Danio rerio: one gene and its partners. The protein of the gene in region 4 interacts with the protein of the main gene of each other region in a pairwise test. Links are inferred from orthologs where the notes say so. Each region holds a gene or a part of one and is shown on either strand. Other genes may lie near its edges.

Region 1 (4,082 bases), on a different chromosome or scaffold from region 4:
CTACAGCACTACAACTGCTTACACAGTTTCGCATTTCGGTTTGGTTGTTTGTTTAAATTCTGCATTTTTATTATCTGTACATCTGTGTAACTGATTTCTTTATAAAAATAATACACATCCTCGACAAATGACAACAATGGCTTTCTTTTCTGTGACCTTTCTACCTGACTATAATTAAGCCACATTGCCAACTGTTCAATTAGTAAAAATAATTTCAGAGTCAATAAATGTGTCTTTTGAGGCCTGCTTAGTTGCAGCATTCTCCATCATAATAGGATCTTTCCCTGAGGCTCTGTTTATGTACATTTTTCAACAACAACAACAAAAAATGTGCTGGAAAAAAAGCATTACTTTACTCCAAAGTGTTTAACAAAGTCTGAAAGGCTGTAAACCTCTCCATATCCCACTCGGGGATCCATGCAGATGAAGTCATCAAGATTCATTTTGGATTCTGAAAAGGACACGTTATACATGAAAGTGGAAGAAGAAATCAAATTATAGTATTTACTGTATATAAATCTGCAATAGAAAACAAACCTGGTGTCTCTAAACATGGATATGCTGGAGGTGGCATACGCCAATTCCCATCGGAGTCCTTCATATGAGACCGATCAGAAGCAAACTCCTTCAAATAAGTGTCCCCGGGTATGACTCGAAGTTTCCTAAAAGAGCAAACAACACTTTGATTACATTCAACTAAGACTGGCTATTATTATTATAAGGGTCAAAGACATAAAGGAGTTTAAGCATTTGTTAAAAAATATATATATAAAAATAATATTATTTAATGCAAAAGTAAATTAATTGACTATTGTCCATCACCACAATTTACATAAGATGACCTCTAAAATGTAGTTAAGTGTAACAGTAGTTTAAAATACTAAGTTATATTTAAAACAAGAATAATGTGAGGCCATACTAAATGGATAACAATGCAGCCTCAAAATACTAATTCATATTAAAATCTTCATTCAATTTTGTCCTCACATTTTATGATGTGCTTTTCTTTTATAAATTTATTAAGTACTTGTTACACTTATGTTATTTCATCTTTTGTAGAATGCAGATTAGACCAGATAATACTTGCCTCCAGTAAGCAGGTTTCAAATGCTTGTCAGACTGAAAGGCCTCCATTGAATAAACGTCAAGCGAACAAGGAAATGGAAGAATGGTGTCTAAATCGTAAATGAAGCTCGGTCCTTGTTTACTTGCGTGTAGAAGAATAACATGGTAATCCTAAATGGAAAACAACATTTTTATATCAATTAGAGACTACCATAAAATATGCATAGTTTTTATACATATAAAGTTCCTACCCAAATTACTGGTTCATCCCCTCGACTGGACTTTTGTTTCCAAATAGGTATCTGAAATATTACACAATTTTTAACACACATACATACTATATATACACTCATTGGCCCCTTTTGTTTGGCACACCTTACTAGTACCGGGTTGGACCCTCTTTTGTCTTTAGAACTGCCTTAATCCTTTGTGGCATAGATTCAACAAGGTACTGGAAATATTCCTCAAGAGATTTTGGTTCATATTCACATGATAGCATTACACAGTTGCTGTGGATTTGTTGGCTGCACATCCGTGATGCGATTCTCTCATTCCACCACATCCCAAAGGTGCTCTACTGAATTGAGAGCCGGTGACTGTGGAAGTCATTTGATTACAGAACTTCATGTCATGTTTTACAAACCAGTCTGAGATGATTTGCGTTTTATGACATGGTGCGTTATCCTGCTGGAAGTAGCCATCAGAAGATGGGTACACTGGTCATAAAGGCATGGACATGGCCAGCAACAATACTCAGGTAGGCTGTGGCGTTGACACAATGCTTAATTGGTACTAATGGGCCCAATGTGTGCCAAGAAAATACCCCCCATGCCATTACACTACCACCACCTGAACCGTTGATACAAGGCAGGATGGATTCATGCTTTCATGTTGCTGACGCTAAATTCTTACCCTACCATCCGAATGTTGCAGCAGAAATTGAGACTTATCAGACCAGACAACGCTTTTCCAATCTTCTATTGTTCAATTTTGGTGAGCCAGTGTGAAATGTAGCCTCAGTTTCCTGGTCTTTGCTGACAAGAGTGGCACCCATGTGGTCTTCTGCTGCTGTAGCCCATCTCCTCAAGGTTCGAGGTTCAAAGTTACTGGAATCACCTTTCTTTCCCATTCTTATGCTTGGTTTGAACTGCAGCTGATCGTCTTGACCATGTCTACATGCCTAAATGCATTGAGTTGCTGCCATGTGATTGGCTTATTTTTGCGTTGAGCAGCAGTTGGAAAGCTGTACCTAATAAAGTGACCGGTGACTGTATACGTGTGTGTGTGTGTGTGTGTGTGTGTATATATGTATATATATATATATATATATATATATATATACATATATATATATATATATATATATATATGTATGTGTGTGTGTGTGTGTGTGTGTGTGTGTGTGTATGTATGTATATAACAGAAAACTGTACATTTCATTAAATGTAAAATACTTGTGTGGAGATGAAGCTCACCTTCTTTCTTTCATTAGATATAAATACTGCATACACCTCTTCCAAAGGACAATGTCTCTGATTCTTGATATATTCACACAATTTCCACACATTCTCCTCACTGCAACAAACATTTAAATACGTGTATGAATACGGTACGTTTTAAATTTGAAATAATGTTACAGGTATTATCGCATTTACCAGTAACAGCTGGTGTAAACACATTGGTTTCCGGACGGGGTGATCACTTTATATTCAGACGAAGCGCTTTCTTCATTCATTCTTTCCTTCCTTATATACGTGTATATACAGTAGGTTTACGCGGACTTCCAGTTATAACGACATGACAAAAGAATACATGTGTATAATGATACCATAGATATTTACATTAATATTACAATGAAGCGATTCGCGTTGCAACCGCACTGTTGCTTGTTACAATGTATCTTGTCCGTAAGGAACTTCAGGGGATTTGTCGTTCCGGCGAGACAGGTGATGCGCGAACATTCACTCCTTATGTGAATTGCAAATGTAGCACTTGCACGATTATCAGCATAAATATTAAACAGTCTAACTTTCATAAAGCATAAGTAGAAAACACGTTAGCGAAAGATAACGTGCAGTTAGGCATCGTTCTCAACTCAATACAATTAGCCAATGTATTGGTTTCTAATTTCAGAGTATCTGATTGTATTTTGTTGCACGTTAATTCGTTTTTTGCCACATACTTGTATAAATGTTTGTGGATATCTATAAATTTTTTTTGTGAACTATATTTTGTTTTAAACTGAAAATGTGTTTCTGTTTCTAATGCATGTTTATCTCAAACCCTTTCATTTCTCTATACATGTTCACTCATTATAGAGTCCTGACAATATGTTTCAAACTATCAGTCCATTCAAATTGTCTACCAAAACCACAGTATGAGTTAATATTAAGGAGGTTAGCACATAGTCTAAATGAATAACTATGTAGTCTTGTCAAAAGTTGTCTTGGTTCACACTTGCTTTGGTCATAAAAAGCCACAAAATGTTCTAAATATATATGCGTACAAGATGTCTTTTGTAAAATAAGGTAAATATTTTTTTGGATTAAATATATCACATTCTGAGAGATGTATTTATTTACTTGTACAACTGTTTTATTACACTTTTTATTGTTTTCATAGGCTAAATCCCCATTTCTGAGCCACAAATAAACAGCTCTTTACACTTTTACCGTTTAAGAATCCACTATTTGCTAACGTGTTTGTTTAAAATGAAATTTGATAACATTCAAATACTTATGATGTTATAAAGTAAGCTAAACCAACAAATATTAACCATATTCTTTTAACAAGATGTATAGGGCCACCTATGTTTTGAGGTGTAGCCATCAGAAAAAGCCCACCATTAACACCTCGTTTTTAGGAATGTCTTTTACTAATGATCTCATTAGCACTTGTGGACCCACTGATTTGAGAGCTGGTGAACTGGAAAAACCACGAATAAAATAGTTGAAATTGCACTTTATTTTTGTTACTTTTTAATAAAATGATCTTTCTTTCTATTTGACTGTAATGCT
Region 2 (4,055 bases), on a different chromosome or scaffold from region 4:
GTTTTTCTGCCTACCTCTTGGACTTTTATTACTATTATTATTCATTAATTTTCTTTTCGCCTTAGTCCCTTTAAAAATCCAGGGCGGAATGAACCGCCAACTTATCCAGAAAAAAACTCAACCTCTTGTAAACTCAAAAATAGAAAAGTAGTTCATGTTAACGTGTAAATGAGCTAAATGTGTTAATAAAGCTCTATTGAAACTAACTTAAACCCCAAATGTGACCCTGGTGCAAGTATCATTTTGGCAAAAGCCAAAAATGCATGTAGGTCAAAAGAATTGAATTTTCTCTTATGCCAAAATCATTGTATTGAGTAAGGACCATTAGGATATTTTCTAAATATTACATTGTAAACAAAATTTGCATCGCTAAACACTAGAAAACTTTAAAGGCGAGTTTCTCTATATTTTTTATTTTATTGTAAGCTTGGTAAGCTTAGTTGGTAATAGAAAGTGTAGTTATTCCGATTTAATTCATTCATTAATTTGATTTCAGCAGTCCTTTATTCACCAGGGGTTACCACAGCGGAATGAACCCTCAACCTATTCAGTATATGTTTTACACAGCATATGCCCTTCCAGCCACAACCCAGTACTGGTAAACACCCATACACTCTTACACATACACTATATATATCTATATATATATATATATATATATATATATATATATATATATATATATATATATATATATATATATATATATATATATATATATACTATACTATACGGTGCATGTCTTTGGACTGTGGGGGAAACCCGAGCACCCTAAGGAAACCCTCACTCAGGGAGAACATGCATCTCCAAACAGAAATGCCAACTGACCAAGTCGGGATATCATTAATGTGATGTATAAATCTTAATTACCAAAACCTGCCTTTAATAGTTTCTTGTTTTATAGTACAGGGTAACAAATATGGGACGTTTGTCATGAAAGTAGACGTAGTCGAGTGTAAAGATCGCTAGAGTTGTGTATTGGGACATGGCCATTGTAGCTTGTAGGTAAGGGATAGTCTAAAAATTGGCAGCTACATTTATCTAGTCCTCAAACGAAATTAAACTACAGCTTGTTCTCTTTGTAAAAGCTATTATTTAATTATAGGTAACTAACATTAATCTATTATTTGTCATCAAGGAAGCAAATACATTAAAAAACTAAAATAATAAAGCGAGACTGCAAAAAAAAAAAAAAAAAAAGGGAATTTGACATGACCCCTAGATGAGTGTTCTCGCGAAAGAGGTGTTATCGCGAGACAAGAAGGAGATGTTTTGAGTCTACATGCGTCTGTTTTATGACAACCTGGGTTAGTAAACATTGATGTTTTAATTTAATGTTGTTGTATTAAGTAGTTATTCGTAATAATGCTTTGTCATCTCAGACTATGTAACCTTACGTCATATTTATTTTGCTTTAGGTCATTTTGCGTACAAACACAATGTTACTTTAATGTCGTGTAATAATCAAATGTAGGGGGGGGCATTGTGCTGTACGTTACACTCATAAATAGATTAAATAATTAGATACGTCTTCTGTGGAACTTTGTCATGACATTGCCATGGTTTAATTGTAGTAAATATAATAACAATTATTTCTTGTTGCATAACCCACCATTTTTTTATTTAACTACCACAATGTTACTACAAATGTTGTGGTTAATCTATAGCATTGCATTGATTTGTTTTTACAAGGATTTAACTACAGACACACACACTCACCGGCCACTTTATTAGGTACACCTTACTAGTTGGCTACCAGGTTGGATGCCCTTGTGAACTGCTATAATCCTTCGTGGCATAGATTTATATTAGAAATATTCCTCCGAGATTTTGCTCCATATTGACATGATAGCATCATGCAGTTGCTGCAGATTTGTCAGCTGCACATCCATGATGTGAATCTCCTGTGCCACCACATCCCAAAGGTGCTCTAGTGGATTGAGATCTAATGACTGTGGAGGCCATTTGAGTACAGTGAACATATTGTCATGTTCAAGAGACCAGTCTGAGGTGATTCACGCTTTATGGCATGGTGCGTTATCCTGCCATAAGTATAGTATAGAACTCCATGCCTTCATGTTGTTGAAGCAAAATTCTGACCCTACCATCAGAATAACGCAGCAGAAATCAAGACTCATCAGACCAGGCAACATTTTTCCAATCTTCTATTGTCCCATTTTGGTGAGCCTGTGCGAATTGTAGCCTCAGTTTCCTGTTCTCAGCTGACTGGAGTGGCACCTGGTGTGGTCTTCTGCTGCTGTAGCCCATTCGCCTCAAGGTTGGACGTGTTGTGCGTTCAGAGATGCTTTTCTGCATACCTCTGTTGTAACGAGTGGTTATTTGAGTTACTTTTCAAAACTGAGCTGGTCGGGTTTGGCGATCCTATCCCTCTGCATTTATCAGGTTTTGGTGAGCTTTCCACTTATCAAAAACCTGTTGTTAGAAACCTAGGATTTCAATTCGACAATGATCTGAAATTTAACAAGCAATTAAATACAATTGTTAAATCCAGTTTTTTCCATTTACGACTTGTGGCAAAAGTAAAGTCGTTTCTTTTAATTTTTAATGACCTTGAGGAGGTGATCCATGCTTTTATTTTGGGAAGACTTGACTATTGCAATTCCCTGTATGTGGGTATTAGTCAAAATGCCCTAAATAGATTGCAATTAGTACAAAATGCGGCTGCGAGACTTCTGACAGGGACTCGCAAGTTTGCACACATATCCCCAGTTCTTTCCTTTCTGGGCTGGCTGCCTGTTAGGTCACGGATTGATCTGGCACCATCTTACTTATTAGACCTGCTACATGTATACAATCCTGGTAGGTAACTGAGGTCTTCTGATGAATTTATTCTATCTATACCAAGGTCCCGGTGTAAGCGGAGTGGGGATCGGGCTTTTGCTGTTGTCGCCCCAAAACTCTGGAACGGGCTTCCTTCCCACATCAGACATGCTCCAACTCTACCTGTTTTTAAAAAGCATTTGAAACGCCATCTTTGTTCTCTAGTATTTGAGCCTTTTTAATGTTGAGGGGTTTGCCTTATGTTTTAATTGCTATGTGTGTGATGTAGATTTTATTTTTAGTATTGATTGTGTTCAGCACTTTGGGCAACGTTGTGTTGTACAAAATGTGCTATATAAATAAATAAACTAAATAAATAAATAAACTAAACTGTTGCCTTTCTATCAGCTGGAACAAGTCTGGCCATTCTCCTCTGACTGCTGATGTAAACAAGGCATTTGCGTCCCAGAACTGCCGCTCACTGGACTTTTTCTCTTTTTCGGACCATTCTTTGTAAACTCTAGAGATGGTTGTGTGTGAAAATCCCAGTAAATCAGCAGTTTCTGAAATACTCAGACCAGCCCGTCTGGCATAAACAACCATGCCACATTCAAAGTCACTTAAATCAGCTTTCTTCCTCATTCTGATGCTCGGTTTGAGCTGCAGCAGATCGTCTTGACCATGTCTACATGCCTAAGTGCAGTGAGTTGCTGCCATGTGATCGGCTGATTAGAAATTTGCATTAACCAGCAGTTTTGACAGGTGTACTTAATAAAGTGGCCGGCTAGTGTATTTTTACTGTAATAAAACTGACTCTTCTTGGCAGCCTCTTTATTTGACGATGATATTAATTCCATTCTGTTGTCAAATTAAAGCAGCTCCGCCATGGACTCGCAGTCATCGATTCTGGAGGAGAACTTGGAGAAGATTTTGAGGGGTGAGGGTCTCGAGTTTGATTCAGTCGCTGAACAAGTGGACCCAGTCACACTGAGGAAGAACGTGTGTTATATTGTCGGCGCAGTCATTTTCAATTCAAAGGTAAAGATGGTGTTGTTGTTCTTGCATGTGAGTGTTGTCTATTTACTGGAACAAGACTGTTTGGTAGCAAGGAATGAAACTGAAGGCAGCACAGTCAATGTGGCTTAATTTACAGTATGCCAGTGTTCAAGAATTATTCTCAGTACTTTATTTACATACTGGTCATGTGACCATGATCTAAATATTGAAAGATATTTCAAACCAAGTTAGGTTTGAAAATAGATTAATAATGAACA
Region 3 (4,176 bases), on a different chromosome or scaffold from region 4:
CAATGAAAGTAGATCTGACTTTGGAATCAATTAAAACAAATACATCATATATAAGTCATCAATTCTTAATTAGTATCTCTCCCTGATGCATCGGTTCTTTCCTAAAGCATGATCAGAGCACTTAAACCGCATGATGATCTGTGATACAGGCTCACACAGCATCAGGGTCAGCCTAGGCAATCTATTTAGGTAGCTTGAGTCCTAATCCAACCCACGTCACGCAAAGATCTTCAACTCATATGACTTTTATAGTTAACATGTTTTCTGAAGTGTACACACTAACCCATTTACTAAGTGGATCATTAGTTTAAAAAGGCCTATACATGTGTGTAATAAATTTGGTCTTCTTACATTAGCACTGTCTCATTTATCTTCACACATGCATGTTTGAAATAGGCATGGGACGATAACCGGTTTTAAGGTTTACCATGGTTTGGAAATTATTAATAACGATATTTTAGATTGCATACCAAAGAAATGACATAACTTCAAACTAGGCATGAGGCGGCATATGTTTGTGAAGGTATGATAACCTTGGATAAAAATATCAGGGTTTCGTGGTTTTGTGATTACTGCTCTAAAATAAGTTCTTTTTCAAATGTGTGGATGAAAAACAACACACTTTCCTCATTGAACACAGTATACAGCAGCGTTTAACGCTAAAGATTTTTTCTACTGGCCCGATTGGATCAGTGGTTCAGATTTTTTCTTGCCTTGCCCAAATTTTCACTGGTCCCACCCAAAAAAATAAATAAATAAAATAAGGAGTTATTTGCTATTTCTTAGCCACATATTTTACATAATGTGTCAAAAATAACGTCTGTGAATCTAGAATTTAAATATTAAATTTTTTAAAAAAAATATTTAGCAGTAAAATATCGCAGCATGGAAAATGTGCAGGTATTTATTTATTTTTTTGCAAATTAAATAGATTTGCCAAACTGATCATTCTGTCTACTGTCCCGAGCGTCTCTTACGCTGGCCCTGGGCCATCCTTATTGTTGAGCCCTGTACAGTATTTATTTGACAAATTTTTTATTTAAAATTAAAATTTATAAAACTTTGCAACAGTAAACATGTCAGGCTAAATCATTCAAATAAATCTACAAAAACACACACACATTTTCAAAATGTGTTTTTATGTGTCGTAAAGAAATCTGTGTTTGTGAACTAACGAACCTAAAAAAAAGTCAATGAGTTATTTTAATTATTTAGCCTGAAATGTTCCAAGATTTTATAAATATGAATTGTAAATTGAAAAATTGTAAAACTAAATACTGTATATTGTGTTCAGTGGGTGAAAATGTGTTGTTTTTACTAAGACATGGCTAAAAACATGCTCTCACATGATTAGTGCTGTGTAGCATCATCTATTATAAATGGATATAAAAATAAATTGAAACTATTTCATGTTTTATGATATGCTGTAATAAATTTAGATGTTTGTTATGATTTACCACATATATGTAGAAATTACATGAAACATTAAGTCATGAAAATTGACTTGAAAGTGCTGGAAAAGTTATGGAATTTTTGCAGTAAAAATGTGTATGAACCTGAAAATGAAATGTCTGTAAACCATAAAACCAGTTATCGTCCCATACCTATTTCAAACATACAGTACATGTGTGGAGGTAGATGATAAATGTAAGATTTATGCAAGTGCTAATGTAAGATGACCACATTTATTACACACATATTAATATATAATGTTATGTTTTGGAACAGTAAACATGTCAGGCTAAATAACTGAAATAAATCCACAAAAAGGCTTTTTAAAAATGTTTTATGTATGTTTTAATGAGTAAAGAAATCTGTGTTTTGTAAACTAACAAACCTAGCATAAGTCAATGACCTATTTCAATGATTAAGCCTGACATGTTCCAAAATTAATAATAAAGAACTTATTTTAGAGCAGTAATCACAATACCATGTAACAGTGATGTTTTTATCCAAGATTATCAAACCTTCACAAGCATAAACCAGCCCATGCCTAGTTTGAAAGACTTTTGATGACATTTGATTGGTATAAATCTAATAATTGTTATCAATAAAGGCCCACATGACAGCAGTTTATTTGAGATATGGACATGATTAAAAGAGGATAATCATGTGAAACGTGTATATTATTGTTATTATTATATTAATATATTATTGCTATCATAAGTAATACGACAATTATATATATATATATATATATACTATATGTGTAAGGCATTTTTAAGAGCATTATGTAATAGCTTTCTGTCAACATATAACTAAATAATACCACAACATGACCCTTTTCTTTTAAATCCCACATAAATATGGTAATTTATATTCCATTCTGCTATATATTCGTGGTTTATTGTTGATATTACCTAGACAAAATGTGTTTACTAGAGGAGTTGTTGTGATATATTTCATTTGTGACATCATTTATAATTCTGATCCGTTATGACGGTGTTTCACATGAAATATTAATAAAACGGAAGACATATTCTTGTATTAAGCAACTCTATGTAAATATTTACAATAAAACATTGATAGTATTAAACTAGAAATACTCTCCTTTTGAGCAAAACACTGACATTGATGATATTAAAACAGTCGTAATGTTCATAACTGTACCTCTTTATTATATGTCTGTAAAGCTGTCAGTGCGGCGTCCTGGTCGCCCGTTTCCATTTTCTCTATGATGGCATTTAAGTCCATTTTCATCGCTGTTCCGCCCTTCTGCTGTCAGGAAGAGCCAAAAAATCACGTAAACACAGTCAGCTTCAATCCTCTGGCTTTATCTGGGCGATCCAGAAGCTCCTGGATGATGCGATTATTGAGGGAATCGTGGGATTTGTAGTGAAGGCTTTAAGATGGGAAGTCCCGCCTTCTGAGCAAATATTCGTGGTTGTGATTGGCGTGGGTGTATGATCGGCGTTTTATCGAGCCAATCATAGGCTGCAAGAAGGAGACGCGTCAGCCAATTATGATGCAGGAGGGTCGACTAAGTGTTACGGATGAGGAAAATGATGAGAAATGTAGTCCAAAAAGTTCAGATTATTCCGCAAATATACGGAGAACCTAAAATAAAATAAATAGGTGTTTTTATAAAGATATAAAACAATATGGGGCATCAGTGGGTAGCATGATCACCTTACAGCAAGAATATCACTGGTTCAATCCTCGACTGGGTCAGCTGGCATTTCTGTGAGGAGTTTGCATGTTCTCCCCGTGTTGGCGTAGGTTTCCTCCGGGTGCTCCGGTTTCCCCAACAAGTCCAAAGATGTAGTATAGGTGAATTGGTTAAGCTAAATAGATACGTAAGTTGGCGGTTCATTCCACTGTGGCGACCCCTGATTAATAAAGGGACCAAGCCGAAAAGAAAATGAATGAAGAAACAATAGGAAAAATATAGAAAAAAGTAATAAATGACTTAATAAAACAGATATTTGTTGTTTAAAATCGAATTTAATAGTAAATTTATTAATTTAATTTAACTTCCTTTTATTTATTATTTTATGCATGCATTTTTCATTTATATTTAAACTTTATTTGCAAACATATTATATATGTGTTTATTTATATTTTAGATTTATTTATGTATTTATTTAAATTTTATGTTTATTTATGTGCTTTTTTATATTTATTTATTAATGCATTTATTTATCTCTATAGCCTATTTATTCATGCAATTATTTCTTGGATTTCTATTTGCTTTCAGTCTTTAACATAAATGATAATAAAATAATTAACAATAAAGGCTAAACAGTACGTTTATAAAGATTTGCAAAAAAAAGTTTAGAACAGAGTAATAGTGCACAACGTAGGGAAGTAGACAAACATTAACCGTATAGTAAAAGTGTAGCAACCATGTTATTTTGTTTGGGCCCATTGAATATAATTTGTATAACTATGTTATTATTACTACAAACACCATGGTAAAACTATGTCTGATCCAGGAAAACCATGAATTTGTGGTTGTCGTGGTTTAACTGTACTATAACTGTGAAGTAAAACCATAGTGAGTTGGTTTAATGATTCATAATGTACACAAATAAATAGCAACTTTTTATATATTTTTCCCAAATAAATACATAAATTAATTCTAGGTTCAACAAGATAATTAATGAAAAAAATAAATAAAAAATAAAAACATTTAATAATACCTGAAAATATAATATGGTTTAAAATGATTATCAA
Region 4 (4,118 bases):
TGACTTCTAGTTGATCATTTGGAAAAGTGGCAGAAGGTAAATTTTTTGATTAATCATGTTGAACTGCATCACACATACTGCTGACCTATTGGAACCCTCATGGACCCAAGATTCTCACAGAAATCAGTCAAGTTTGGTGAAGGAAAAAATATGATTTGTGTTTACATTTATTCAACATCAACAGCCTGAGATATCAAGACATTTGCTGCCCTTTTCATTACATATCACAGGAGAGGGCAAATTCTTCAGCCGGATCACGCTCCTTCTCATACTTCAGCCTCCACATCAAAGTTCCTGCAAGCAAAGGTCAAAGTGCTCCAGTATTGGCCAGCCCAATCACCAGACATAAAAGTTATTGAGCATGTCTGGGGTAAGATGGAGGCGAAGGCATTGAAGATGAATTCAAAGAATCTTGATGAACTCTGGGAGTCCTGCAGGAACACTGTTTTTGCCATTCCAGATGACTTTATTAATAAGTGATTTGAGTCATTGCAGAGATGTGTGGATGCAGCCCTCCAAGCTCATGGGAGTCATACACAATATTAATTATTTTTCCATTGCACCATGACTTTATATTCTATACTGTACATTATTTCTGTTAAGTCTTTTGTTTTAGCAAAGTCAGGCCTTACTATCCTCATTAAATAATAAAAAATCAAGGCATAATCATATTTTATTTTGGTAAAAGAAGCGTACACTAGAGGCCTTTGCCTTTCAGCCACTGATACCAAATCATCAACTAAGTCAAGTTATTTGTTGTTCCTAAAACTTGGATAGGCCACAAGGTTTTTGGCAGTGTGTACTGGAAAAGAACAGAAATCCAATTCCTGAAATTAATAGCATTTAGCTAGAAAAAAAGTATTTATTGACATCACATATTTATAATGCTGCAAATGAATGTCAACTATACAATGTTCATTACTAGGTATGTCTGTTCTTGAATATTAAAATATATTATATATTATCAAGGGCTGATTTAGTGATTTTGGGGCCATAAACAATTCCAGCCAAGGGGCCCAAAAGTTCTAGAATGCATCTTTTGTACTTGAATTTTTAAAAATTATTTTCATATTTTTTTAGTTTTGCTGTTTTTTTCTTATATCATTAAACCTCATTTTCTATATTTTATCTTAATGCAAAATAATAGTTATAACATGTAAAGGACATTGTATCCATTTAAAAAAAATTTAGGTGCATGCCCTGTATGCTGATCCGTGTCACTAGGAGGCAGTCGCAAGTTTGACTCGTGTTAACTTATGTCAACAGAAGAAGATCGTCACCGCTGTTTGCGAACCACATCATATCCGCTGCACATCAACACAGTCAACACATCTACACAAAGTGCTGTGAGTATGATTGTTACTTTAAGGTTTACTCCCCTTTTAAAGCACAATTCTAGAAATATTTCGTCTCACTGTCTGTCGATTTCTCTATGTTACTAACGTTACCGATTGATCTCAAAGTTAAGGGGTATCGATATATATTTTGAGAAAGAGCGCTTGCTGCTGTCTGTAACGGATTTGATAAACAAACTTTATGGATTATGTTTTGTGACATACCAAAAAAAGAAAACGTTGTTTATTGTCTGACTGTAATAATTTATTTTTTGAGGCACATCTGACGTAATGTAGCAGCTTAACAAACTTGCTCTACCGGATTGTTTCTCTTCTTGAACGCAGAGTTTCAGTTGCAGCCCATGAGTGACATCATTTTTCCAGTAACGTCATTGAACACGTTCATAACTTACCATAACATAGAAAGCGAGCTTCATAGATTAAGTGAAGACATACAGAGGAAGTTTAGAAAGTTGCTTTCTGTGAAGGAGATCAAATTCATTGTTTTCCTATCAAGTGTAAAAGTCTTAGTATCCCTTGACTAAAGTTATGTGCATGTTCTTGTACTTATAACGTTAGAGGTAAAGTTGGTTTTATATTCGCACATTTAGAAGTCCCTATATTGTTTACCATGTTACTTTGAATATTCGATCGGAATTAGCCTGCAAGTATGACTTCTAAATAACATTAATTCTATCTAATTGATTGTGAACAATGTTGTACTTTGATAATCATTTGGTGCTTATATGATTTTCCTATTCGGAATTTGCAAAGAATACTTTTCTGAAATTATATTGTTAAGGAGAATGTCTGAATATCCGAATATAACTTTTCCTTTATCTTATACTTCACTTTGAAGAACCTTTCATCTATAGTTTGCTATTCATTAATCCAGCCTTTTGAAAGGGTTTTTTCTTAATAGGTAGATCTTTTTGCTGTTGTTCGCCTCATTTTCTGTTTAGTTATGAGATTTCAATGCTGAATTTAGATGAAATTTTAAGCACTTTTTACCTGACTTTATTGAATCAATTATCTTGTTGGATGGTCATCATAACCACACTTTTTGATGTACCAAAACATTTCCTAAATATTTATAATAAAGAAATAAATATGGCAAATATGTGTTTTTAAAACAGAAATATATTGCATCATTTATCATGCATCAACGTTTTAAATTAGAAACTGTAGCCTAGTGTAATTTATTAAGCAAATAACTGACTGGCCAGCACATTCAACTTTCCTCAGTCAGAATGTGGCCATTTAAATAATAATAAAAAACTAAAACATAATAATAATAATAATAACAACAACAACAGTTAAGAGCTTCACAGTTTTTCTAGCCTCTTGTATAAGTACTTTACACTTTATTGGTTATTTTTTGTTTCAAGAAAAGTGATTGATAATAAAAGTTACTTGTCAAATCTTTTCCCAATTTGAAAACAATAAAGTAGTGAAAGATGACTTTGCTTATGTCAGGTGTTTTCTTGCACAGCTGGATGTTGGACTCTTGAAAAATAATTGTTTGTATTGGCCAAAACTGATTAACTGAAGTCACACCAGGATTACGCTTGGTCTTAATGCCTTTTTCGATGGGTTATTTTCACTATTTATGATGGCATAGCAGTCAAAAAAGAACAAATGAGCTCATGTATTGGACAAATTCTGGACCTTTGTCAGTGTGGGTGGGTGGGTCTTCCGAAAACCCCTGGCTACGGGCCTGGTGAGTGTTTTTTTTAAGTGGATAAAAGGATTAGTTCACACAAAAATAAAACTTCTGTTATTAATTACTCACCTTCACGTCCTTTTAATTCCTGCATGAAATCTAAGTTTCCTCATCATCCTTTTATGGTCCAGACACATTTATAGTCCAGAAAAGGAACTAAACACATTGTCAAAACATTCCATGTGACTTCAGTGGGTCAACTATAATCATATGAAGCTCCAAGAACACTTTTGTGTGTCAAAAACGTATCAGATCAGGACATGCGTTTATTATGAACTCTGATTACCTGAAGCGGAAGAGAGGACAAATAGTGGTACTTAATCACATAATTTAAATTTTTGGGTGAACTAACCTTTTGAAGTTTTATATGAAAGGCCATGGTCCTTTGTTATTCATACAATGCAAGTCAACAGTTACCTGCACTTATAGAGTCAAACATAAATATACAGGCAAAACATATTTAACTTCTGTGACACCTGAAAACACATTGAGGTCTAATAAAGGGAAACTATAGGTCTGTGCAAAAAGCTGAGCAATATTAACAGTAACTTATTATTGCATCTTACCCAATGATCCCACTTTCTTCTTTTGACAACCACAATGTCCTTTACATCTCAATCAACCCACATAGTATAAATGTACCAGTGGCTCTCAACTCTGTTGGAAATTAAATCAACATATGAATATATTTAAATCAAAATAGTAATACATTCTTGTTGATTAAGATATGTGTTTTATTATTAGACACGTCGAGATGGATGCAAAAGTAAGTGACCCCTTTAGCAGCGAGGCAGAGCAGCTTCCAGGAGCAGGAATTGTGGGAAGGTGAGTCTGTCACCAGAAATACTACAATCTGTAAAAGCCCAAAACTCCAGAAATTGTTTATTGTTTAACTCTTATTGAGAGTCACATTAGATAAAAGACACTGCTAAATGATTAATTTCTTTAAAAAAATTATTTTAATTGTAACTTTCTTTGTTGTTGTTTATATATATATATATATATATATATATATATATATATATATATATATATATATATATTTATATGTATGTAAGTAT
Region 5 (4,037 bases), on a different chromosome or scaffold from region 4:
ATCCCATAAGGGGTTTCAATGTCATGTTCCTGAACACACAAAAACAACAATTTCAGCAAAGAGCCTGAGAAACTGTCAGGATGGATCTAAAATGTTGTGGGAAGTTACTTTTAAAAGTAACATTGGATTACATTTTTTTCAAGTAACTAAATTCAGTACTTAGGTACTTTTTGAGGAAAGTAATGCATTAAGTTACTTTCCCATTACTTTTTTTCATCTGGGCTGGCTTGCTTGTTTGCAGGGCTCCACACAATTATTTCATATTGTCCTAACACAAATCTAAGTTGTAGCTTAAATACCCTAATTTAGATACAACATACTTGGTTAAAAATAGGTTTAAAATGTTTTTTTTAGTTGGAATTTTGTAGGTAAAACTTATTAACTAGACCAATCTCATCCCAGTGTCATCAAGTGGCCAATATTGTGGAAGAATCTGGCATATTGAGCTAATTTTTTGACATTGGGACGAAACTGACCCAATTTTCCAGTTGTAACTTAAATACAACAGTAATTTAGATGCAACATACTGACTTGAAATGAATTTAAAATATTTTTTTTGGTGAAAATTTTGTAGGTAAAACTTAAACTGGACCAATCTCATCCCAGTGGCTAATATTTGGCAAAATCTAGTATATTGAGGTACATATTGACATTGAAACGAGATTGACCCAATTTTCCAGTTTTAGCTTAAATATGACCCTAATTTAGATGCAAATTACTGACTGAAAATGGGTTTAAAAGGTTTTTTGTTGTTGTTGTTGTTGTTGAAAATTCTGTAGCTAAAACTTGTGAACTGGACCAATATCATCCCAGTGTCATCAAGTGGTCCATATTGTGGCAAAATCTGGCATATTTAGCTACGTATTGACATTGTGAGAAGACTGACCCAATTTACCACTTCATACAGGCTAAAATGTGGTGAAATCTAATAAGTCATGCTTTATTTTTTGTATCCAAACACAAACTATAAAATCAAAATTTGTTCCAATCATGTTCTAATTTCAAAAGGCAATCTATACTCAGTAAAATATTGTATATTGGGCTAACTTAAAAATCAAGTTTTAGCTTGTTTAGATGCAACAAATTCAGCTTAACAGTTGTATCTTAACACAAACTAAATAAAAGGAGGCAGTCTGCCAGAAATTCTCATTTCAGCCTGTATGTTTTGACACAAACTAAAACATTGATTTATATTGTAGTTACTAAAAGGGCTGCCAAATTTTTAATGGGCAATAAAAAATGTATTTAATCGAGAGTAAAAAAAAAACACAACTAATTAATATCTTATTAAGCGTCTCCGATTCCTGTTCATAGTCATTTAACACACTTTTAATTGCCATTTCCAAAGGCATTTTAATCTGAACTGACCCACATTCACCGTCAGACTTTACTCCAAGTGGAGAAGCGATGGATGTGTGTTTTTTTCTTGTCCTATAAGGATTATTTCAGAATCTCTAGCTTTCCAATGTTATGCACAAATCCACGCAGACACCTCGCAGGCAGCCCCGAGCTTAATGCAGATCCACAGAGAGACAGGGAAATAAATCTCCTGTGGGCTTTAAGCCCCTGTCAGTGTGTGGTTTTGATGTTAGTGGAAAATAAAAAATAAAAAAATAGTGGAAGCTCAGACCGGATGCAAGTGTATTTGTGCGAGTTAAGGACAGCTGTTTGTGTAACTCTGTGTTCGGGTCAAAATTAAATCTCATAGCAGCTGTCACTGTGTTTTGCAAAATGTCAAGCATGTTTTCTAGACAGACAATATGGAACAAACACTGACGAGATAAACACAAAATCTGACCTAGATATGACAATATTATGCACAAAACAATAGTAAAGCAGTGCGTCGTGAGTTGAAGTACTGCTCTTTTTTAGCTGCTCGTTTTCTTTAAGCTCAAGGTCACACAATCGTCCTTGGATGAGGATTTTTATGATTAGATCGCAGATTTGGTGTCAGTTTCACAATGCACAAACACACATTTCTAAACACACACACTCCAGGTCACTGCAGAGGTACATCAGTGCGCACGTCCCACACGTGGCAGTGTGTTAGTGTGTTAGTGCAAATGGCCACCTCATACATGACTGGACATTTCTGCACAACACACAATATCAGCATCACGCTTTCACCAGATGGAGCTTTTTATTTGATATTTTATTTTATGAATATATCTATTATATTATCTTATATCATATTATATTATATTATATTAAATATAAAAAATTATATATATATATATATATATATATATATATATATATATATATATATATATATATATATATATATATATGTTTTATATTATACATTTATGATACAAATGTACACATTTAGCTTTTTATTAAATAATAAATAAATAAGATTTTATTTTAAATGATTATTTTTATTTCAATATAATTACTAAATAACCATTAGGATTGATAAATTGAAATAAATGATAATAAGTAGCCATCAGGCAAGTATAAACATGCATAGATCTGTAATGATGGAACTGGTGCACAATACCAGTTCAGTAGGTCAAGCTAATTATTTCAAGCATGCATAAGGCTAATCAATTAAATATACATTCATTTGGCTAAACAATAAAGAATGACATGATAGCACATGTATTAGTATTAACAAATAAATAAATAAATAGAATCCTGTGTTTACATCCTAAAATCATAGATATCCCACTCACCCCATCCCAGCACTCCGGCATGGTAGCTTAGAGATTGTGTACGCTTGCTTAAAGAAGTGTAGGGAAGAAAAGGAGACGACAAGGTCCTCTCTGGACAATTGCAATCGGATGCAGGAAAGCAAAGAGATGCTGCGGTTGCTACGGCGTCTCTTTGTCTCTCCTCGTCCTGTCAGGGCAGTTTTGCAGCACTACTTGTCCCCTCCCCCGACACATTTCACATCCCACCCCATGCATTCTGATTGGATGACTGCACAAAATGCCAGCATGTGAGTGGCTCAGCTTGGTGTCAATCTAACTCTGTTGTTTTTCATCTGGATTTGCCCCATATTTGCTATTTTCATCCTCCACATGCACAAAACAGCCTTTAATATGACTTCTTGATGCAATTTAATACATCAATAGAGCGCTATATTCCAAAATGATATGCTTTTCTATATAGTAATTCATCATTTAAATAAAAAAAGACACAATACACACACCAAACTAGACAAGAACTCCGATTTCATAAAAAGCCTTAAGCATTACTGTCAATGTGGCTTGCTTTGTGACAGTGTTTGTGTGTGTGCGCTTCCACAGGAGCACGTGATAAAGCACTCGAGGCTCGTGGCCCACTTTTGAGGCATGGATGTGTTTACATGAGCTATATTCTATATTATACAGCCTCTGAATTTGAAATCCGCACAGTTTTGTCTATTACAACTGGATGTGCTGGCTTTTCTTTGTGGATGTGAAAGATTAATCCTCGTGTGCCTGACTTTGCTTTTGCAGTCTCACTTAAACGCACAAACTCTTCCCTTCTCTATTGCAAGTGTCATGCACAGGTGTAAATGCTTTTGCACTGTTGTTGTCAAAATAGAACGCGCCATACTTGTTACATAGTATGCACATGAACAGGTTTTTATTTAGAGCTCATTATCACTTTTTTGGGTTTGGTATTGTTTCTGAATAAGGTAACACTTTACAATAAGGTTCATTAGTTAATGCATTTAATAACATGAACTAATCATGAACAACACTTGTACAGCATTTATTAATCATAATTGAACATTTACTAATGCATTATTAACATCCAAACTCGTGCTTGTTAACATTAGTTAATGCACCGTGAGTTAACATGAATTCACAATGAACAACTGTATTTTCATTAACTAACGTTAACTTGAATTTTGCCTAAGTAATGTTTTATTCAGTACCAAACTGTAAATAATTACATGGCTGGCTTAAATTTTTAAAAATGAATTATATTAATGACTTACTGTTACAAGCACCAGCGATCTAGCCCATGCAGACCACTTAGAAATCTAAATCCGCCATTATATGGACTACAAGACCCAGTCATGCACTGCACACACACACCTG
Region 6 (4,164 bases), on a different chromosome or scaffold from region 4:
GCTGAATTGATGTTGTATCTGTCATTGGACTTCATCTACAGTGCGCGCTCGACAGACTGTTTCAGAGGTGCTCGAGTGTCAGAAAGAGTGAAATATTTTGTGTTTGATACAGACATGCGTATATCAACTGAAATAAAATAATTCTAATCCAACAAGAAGGAGCAATGCACAAGAAAGTAAACATTATGCAGAATAATGTGCGCCTGTACTTCTGCCAAGATACAATTCTTAATATAAGGTCCTTGAATGGAGTCAGTCAGTTGCCACTCAATGCATTGCTGAATTCAAATGTTGAAATTTAAATATTAAAACTATTTTTACACTTCAAGATCTAGGTCAGTGGTCAGATAGGTCATAGGCCACAGTACAAAAATATTATTAGATGTTAATAATTAAATAACAATATTGTTAAGTGCCAAAGAAGTGGCAACTTCCAGTTATTTACACTTTCCAGGCTCCTTAATAAATAATGAAAAAAATCTAAACATAAATATAACCATGTCTAAAATTTAATATTAGTTTTATTACAAGATAACCAGAATTCTTGTATAACAATGAGGGCATTCCCAGCCAAAATTTGTCATCTAAATATTTTTACAACTTTGGTTGCATCAAACTAATAATAAATAACTTATCGATCCCTCCTGATCATAACAAGTGCGTTTTAGCACACAAAAGAAAAGGAAAAAAATCAACAATGACACAATAAAGCCAAGCATCTTTGCACGTGTCGGTGAACGATGTAACCTTCACAGCGCTGGCGTCTTTCGGAATAAAATGGGGGCAATAATTAACTGCAGGACCGCCGATACTGCCAATAATTATCCAGTAAATTGGTCGCATAATTAGCCAGAGGAGCGCAGGAATTGGACCGCTCTCTCTCCGAACCACGAACACGCGCAAACGCTCTCAGGGCGTGCAGTTAAACAAAACAAGCTTAATATTAAACCAACACCGCACAAAGCATATCCTCAGTGGCAGATGCAGAATATCCCGAAGATGCATAATTGTCGAGCAATTCCCCAAGTGTGGGTCTTGCTTGATTAAATGAATGGTGTGAGAATAGCGCGCTGTAAACAAGGGAACTGCCGGGGTGCCTCTCTCTCATTCATGCCCCAGAAGAAGGCACTCGGTTCAGCCTTGTGATGCAACGCAGAAGGGGGGGAAGGATCATCGTTGTATATTTTGCAATGATAAATCCAATTATGACTATTCATTTTCACAAGTGAGAAGCAGAGAAATGTGGATGCTGGATGTGGCTTGATACAACTGGACTCCGCTGACGACCAAATAAAAAAAAAACACCAATAAAGATGGCGGTGTCTGAAGGATTAGTGACACTGTTCTGTTGCTTTTTTCTTCTTGACATGTCTAATTTAGCTTCATTTGTAAGGGTATGCATTATCTTACCTGTTTTCTCTTTGATCTCGCAGAGCACACTGAAGAGGGCTGGCTTCATTCTGTGACAGTTGAGCCCATGTTTCCTGTGCCATTTGGGAGCAAGAGACGAGATTGATATATAGTCACTTAAAACTCATAATTGTGTCGCATTAAAACTTCATAAGGCATCAAGTCTTCTGTTGGAATGTATCTTTAAACTGCATTGGTTTGTTAGAAATAAACACAGACAAAGTTCACAACAAAGAGTATAATTAATTAGTGCTAAATATGTAAATTAATTTACAAAGAAGTAAAAGATTTATAGTATGTGGCTAGTGGCTGTAAAAGTATCAGGGCCTCTTCGGCTCAGAAACAGAAAAGTGAGATGTAGAAACTTTTAATGAGATGCTCACATGTGTTGAGCACTTCACCTGTGTATCATTTACATTAAAATGCACAACTTTAGCAGCTAATGTTCTGATTTAGGATAGATCTTGTGACACTGAAACGTGATTTCAACCTGTCAAATGGATTTCAGATGCAAACTTGACCTTTTAGGTTTACTATAGTGACCCAGTGGGTGAAAATTAAAAGTTAGCTAGTGTGAAAAAAAAAGTAAATGAAAGCAACATGAGCTATTGTAAAGAATCAAATGAGCAAGCATGGAATACTTTGTTAAGAAAACAATGCAAGCGTTTATATTACAGAAATGCACCAACTTTGCTTGCGCCTCGTCCAGGCTTTGGTCGGTGATGGTCATGATCTGATGCAGAATGTCACCGATGTCTTGTTTTCTTCCATCCCCATCGGTTCCGTCGTGTCCATGTGGAGGCGGCAGAGCCATGCCGCCTTGTACCGAGTGACCAGCCAGGCTGACACCGCCGAGAGTCTGCATGATCCGGGCTTGCTCGTCCATAGTCCGCCGCAACACAATCAATGCGCTCGTGCTCAGTCACTGAGATGGGTGAAATAAACTCGGATAATGCACATGCAAAAACAACTTGATTATTTCATGTGCGGCGTTTAACGGGTCGCTATCGTGCACAAAATATTGACCGTGAAGCAACGCAGAAGAGAAGAAAAATACAATAAATCGCTGGATCGCGGAATTGATGTCCCGGGAAAAGATTTAAATCGTCTTTGATCCTCCTGTAAGAATGTCCATTAGAGGAAAATTAGCGATGATCTTTCTTGTTTGTTATTGAAGTAAACTTCAGCGTTCAGGTGACAGCGGTTGCCCGTTCAATCCTGTCCGAATCTTCATGCCAATTTGTCTTTTTTCTCTTTGAAGAGCCGGGGTCCTTTGCAGATGTCTGGAATTCTTATTTGCTGTCTTCTTAGGATAATTTCGCCTTGTGCACTTCTGGAAAACTTGGACAAATCCGTAGTATTACAAAGAGTTGCAAACAAAACATCCCATGCCTCTGACGGAAAGTGATAATTAATCAAAATTAATGATTGTGTAATTAAAAAGACGCAGGTTGAGTGTGGACAACTGGCAGAATGTTGTCTTTTAAAAAGATTTCTTTTTTTTCCTCCAAAAATAAAAAAACTGCATAAGAAAATAAAAGAACCCGAGTGAAATAAATTAAACCATCAGCACCGGCGACCAGAGCTATAAAGATTGTAGAGAAAAAAATATATACAAAAACGTATAAAAAAGTTTTCTCACTTTCAGTAGGTAAAATAGAAAAACTAGCGAAAAAAATTAATCACGCGCCATAAAGCGATGCGCAAAAATATCTGCTGGCGGAAATTTATGAGTCGAGCGCGCGGGCTGTGTGTGCTTTATGTTGTTTGATGGCAGCGGTAGTGAGCGATTGACAATGTGCCAATGCCATTCACTCAGTGCGGACGTGTCAGAGAAGAAAAAAAGATACAAAATCGACATCAAAATGCACGCTCCGCCCTGCAGAGGAGGGGTCTTAGATTCTTGTCACTTCTCGCCGAAGCCCCCGAAAACAAAATGCCAGTTAGCTACTAATGATACTGCTGGTGATGATAATGATGAGAGCAGAGCATCAAATCAGCAGCGTTTAAGTCTCCGCTTTACGCGTGCCTCATTTAAAAGCGCGCCCGTGCATTTGAGATGCCGTTACATTATAAAACAAACAAAAGGTCAGAGTTTTATATTGTCTGATTCAAACTAATAATGAATTGCACGGGCCCCCTCGCTTCCTTACACCATAGTATGGTCGCCTCCACAAGCCGTGCTTGCAGGGGCAGGAAAGCAGAGGACATGTTTATAATATTGGAAATAGACGCCTCGAACCAATCGCTTAAGAGACGGCGTTTGACGGGCAGCCGGAGTGACCAATGAGCGACTCGCGCTGATCGAGAACGCCCGCCTTCGGAGCTCAATACCTTTGCTACGGTTGTACAGAGAGATCTCAACTTCTGATTGGACGTTGCCAAGGGTGACATTACTGCACAAGCAGGCGGCGCTGCGCAGCGCTCCTCGCCAGTTGCTATGGCAGCAGACTGTTCGGTGAGCTCGAAGCAAAAACACACAGCGAAACATTTGTGCGCTTCTTCCTCCGTCCGCCGCGCTCCTCTCTCTCTCTCACACACACAGGCAGCCGGCTACAGCCACAAAAACACCGTATTCCATCCACACTCCAACCACTGTTGTTCAAGGTATAGCCCAAAACACGCGTCTTTTGTTCAGTACACCAGTCACCAAAAGCATCAGTATGTGTTGTTCTTGGTCCGTCGTAAATAATAGCGCATGTAGAAGAACTGTATTCAAACGAAGTGCCATGGGGGAATTAGAGACTACTTTTA

The links.
Region 1: the proteins of rabac1 (region 4) and ntaq1 interact in binary tests that used the Homo sapiens proteins (3 or more experiments, as listed by UniProt). The two-hybrid records come from large-scale screens. The link is inferred for Danio rerio from reciprocal best matches to the Homo sapiens genes RABAC1 and NTAQ1.
Region 2: the proteins of rabac1 (region 4) and nudt18 interact in binary tests that used the Homo sapiens proteins (3 or more experiments, as listed by UniProt). The two-hybrid records come from large-scale screens. The link is inferred for Danio rerio from reciprocal best matches to the Homo sapiens genes RABAC1 and NUDT18.
Region 3: the proteins of rabac1 (region 4) and ric8a interact in binary tests that used the Homo sapiens proteins (3 or more experiments, as listed by UniProt). The link is inferred for Danio rerio from reciprocal best matches to the Homo sapiens genes RABAC1 and RIC8A.
Region 5: the proteins of rabac1 (region 4) and ndrg4 interact in binary tests that used the Homo sapiens proteins (3 or more experiments, as listed by UniProt). The two-hybrid records come from large-scale screens. The link is inferred for Danio rerio from reciprocal best matches to the Homo sapiens genes RABAC1 and NDRG4.
Region 6: the proteins of rabac1 (region 4) and pbx3b interact in a two-hybrid assay, tested with the Homo sapiens proteins (2 studies listed by BioGRID). The two-hybrid records come from large-scale screens. The link is inferred for Danio rerio from reciprocal best matches to the Homo sapiens genes RABAC1 and PBX3.

Annotation. Positions count from the first base shown.
Region 1 is NC_133194.1:37,454,635-37,458,716, reverse strand, and holds ntaq1 (protein N-terminal glutamine amidohydrolase), read right to left. Parts: upstream 2,801-4,082; coding exon 2,721-2,800; intron 2,641-2,720; coding exon 2,541-2,640; intron 1,368-2,540; coding exon 1,317-1,367; intron 1,237-1,316; coding exon 1,088-1,236; intron 663-1,087; coding exon 538-662; intron 452-537; coding exon 348-451; 3' UTR 332-347; downstream 1-331. UniProt on the Homo sapiens protein: Mediates the side-chain deamidation of N-terminal glutamine residues to glutamate, an important step in N-end rule pathway of protein degradation.
Region 2 is NC_133183.1:55,665,518-55,669,572, forward strand, and holds the start of nudt18 (8-oxo-dGDP phosphatase NUDT18), read left to right. Parts: upstream 1-1,255; 5' UTR 1,256-1,307; intron 1,308-3,656; 5' UTR 3,657-3,666; coding exon 3,667-3,819; intron 3,820-4,055. UniProt on the Homo sapiens protein: Mediates the hydrolysis of oxidized nucleoside diphosphate derivatives. Hydrolyzes 8-oxo-7,8-dihydroguanine (8-oxo-Gua)-containing deoxyribo- and ribonucleoside diphosphates to the monophosphates. Hydrolyzes 8-oxo-dGDP and 8-oxo-GDP with the same efficiencies.
Region 3 is NC_133200.1:11,275,140-11,279,315, reverse strand, and holds the start of ric8a (chaperone Ric-8A), read right to left. Parts: upstream 2,801-4,176; 5' UTR 2,701-2,800; coding exon 2,611-2,700; intron 1-2,610.
Region 4 is NC_133191.1:11,086,695-11,090,812, reverse strand, and holds the start of rabac1 (prenylated Rab acceptor protein 1), read left to right. Parts: upstream 1-1,318; 5' UTR 1,319-1,346; intron 1,347-3,801; 5' UTR 3,802-3,811; coding exon 3,812-3,882; intron 3,883-4,118. UniProt on the Homo sapiens protein: General Rab protein regulator required for vesicle formation from the Golgi complex. May control vesicle docking and fusion by mediating the action of Rab GTPases to the SNARE complexes.
Region 5 is NC_133200.1:14,289,094-14,293,130, forward strand, and holds the start of ndrg4 (protein NDRG4), read right to left. Parts: upstream 2,801-4,037; 5' UTR 2,700-2,800; coding exon 2,679-2,699; intron 30-2,678; coding exon 1-29. UniProt on the Homo sapiens protein: Contributes to the maintenance of intracerebral BDNF levels within the normal range, which is necessary for the preservation of spatial learning and the resistance to neuronal cell death caused by ischemic stress.
Region 6 is NC_133183.1:36,175,571-36,179,734, forward strand, and holds the start of pbx3b (pre-B-cell leukemia transcription factor 3b), read right to left. Parts: upstream 2,801-4,164; 5' UTR 2,297-2,800; coding exon 2,100-2,296; exon of another isoform or gene 2,096-2,099; intron 1,485-2,095; coding exon 1,411-1,484; intron 1,374-1,410; exon of another isoform or gene 1-1,373. UniProt on the Homo sapiens protein: Transcriptional activator that binds the sequence 5'-ATCAATCAA-3'.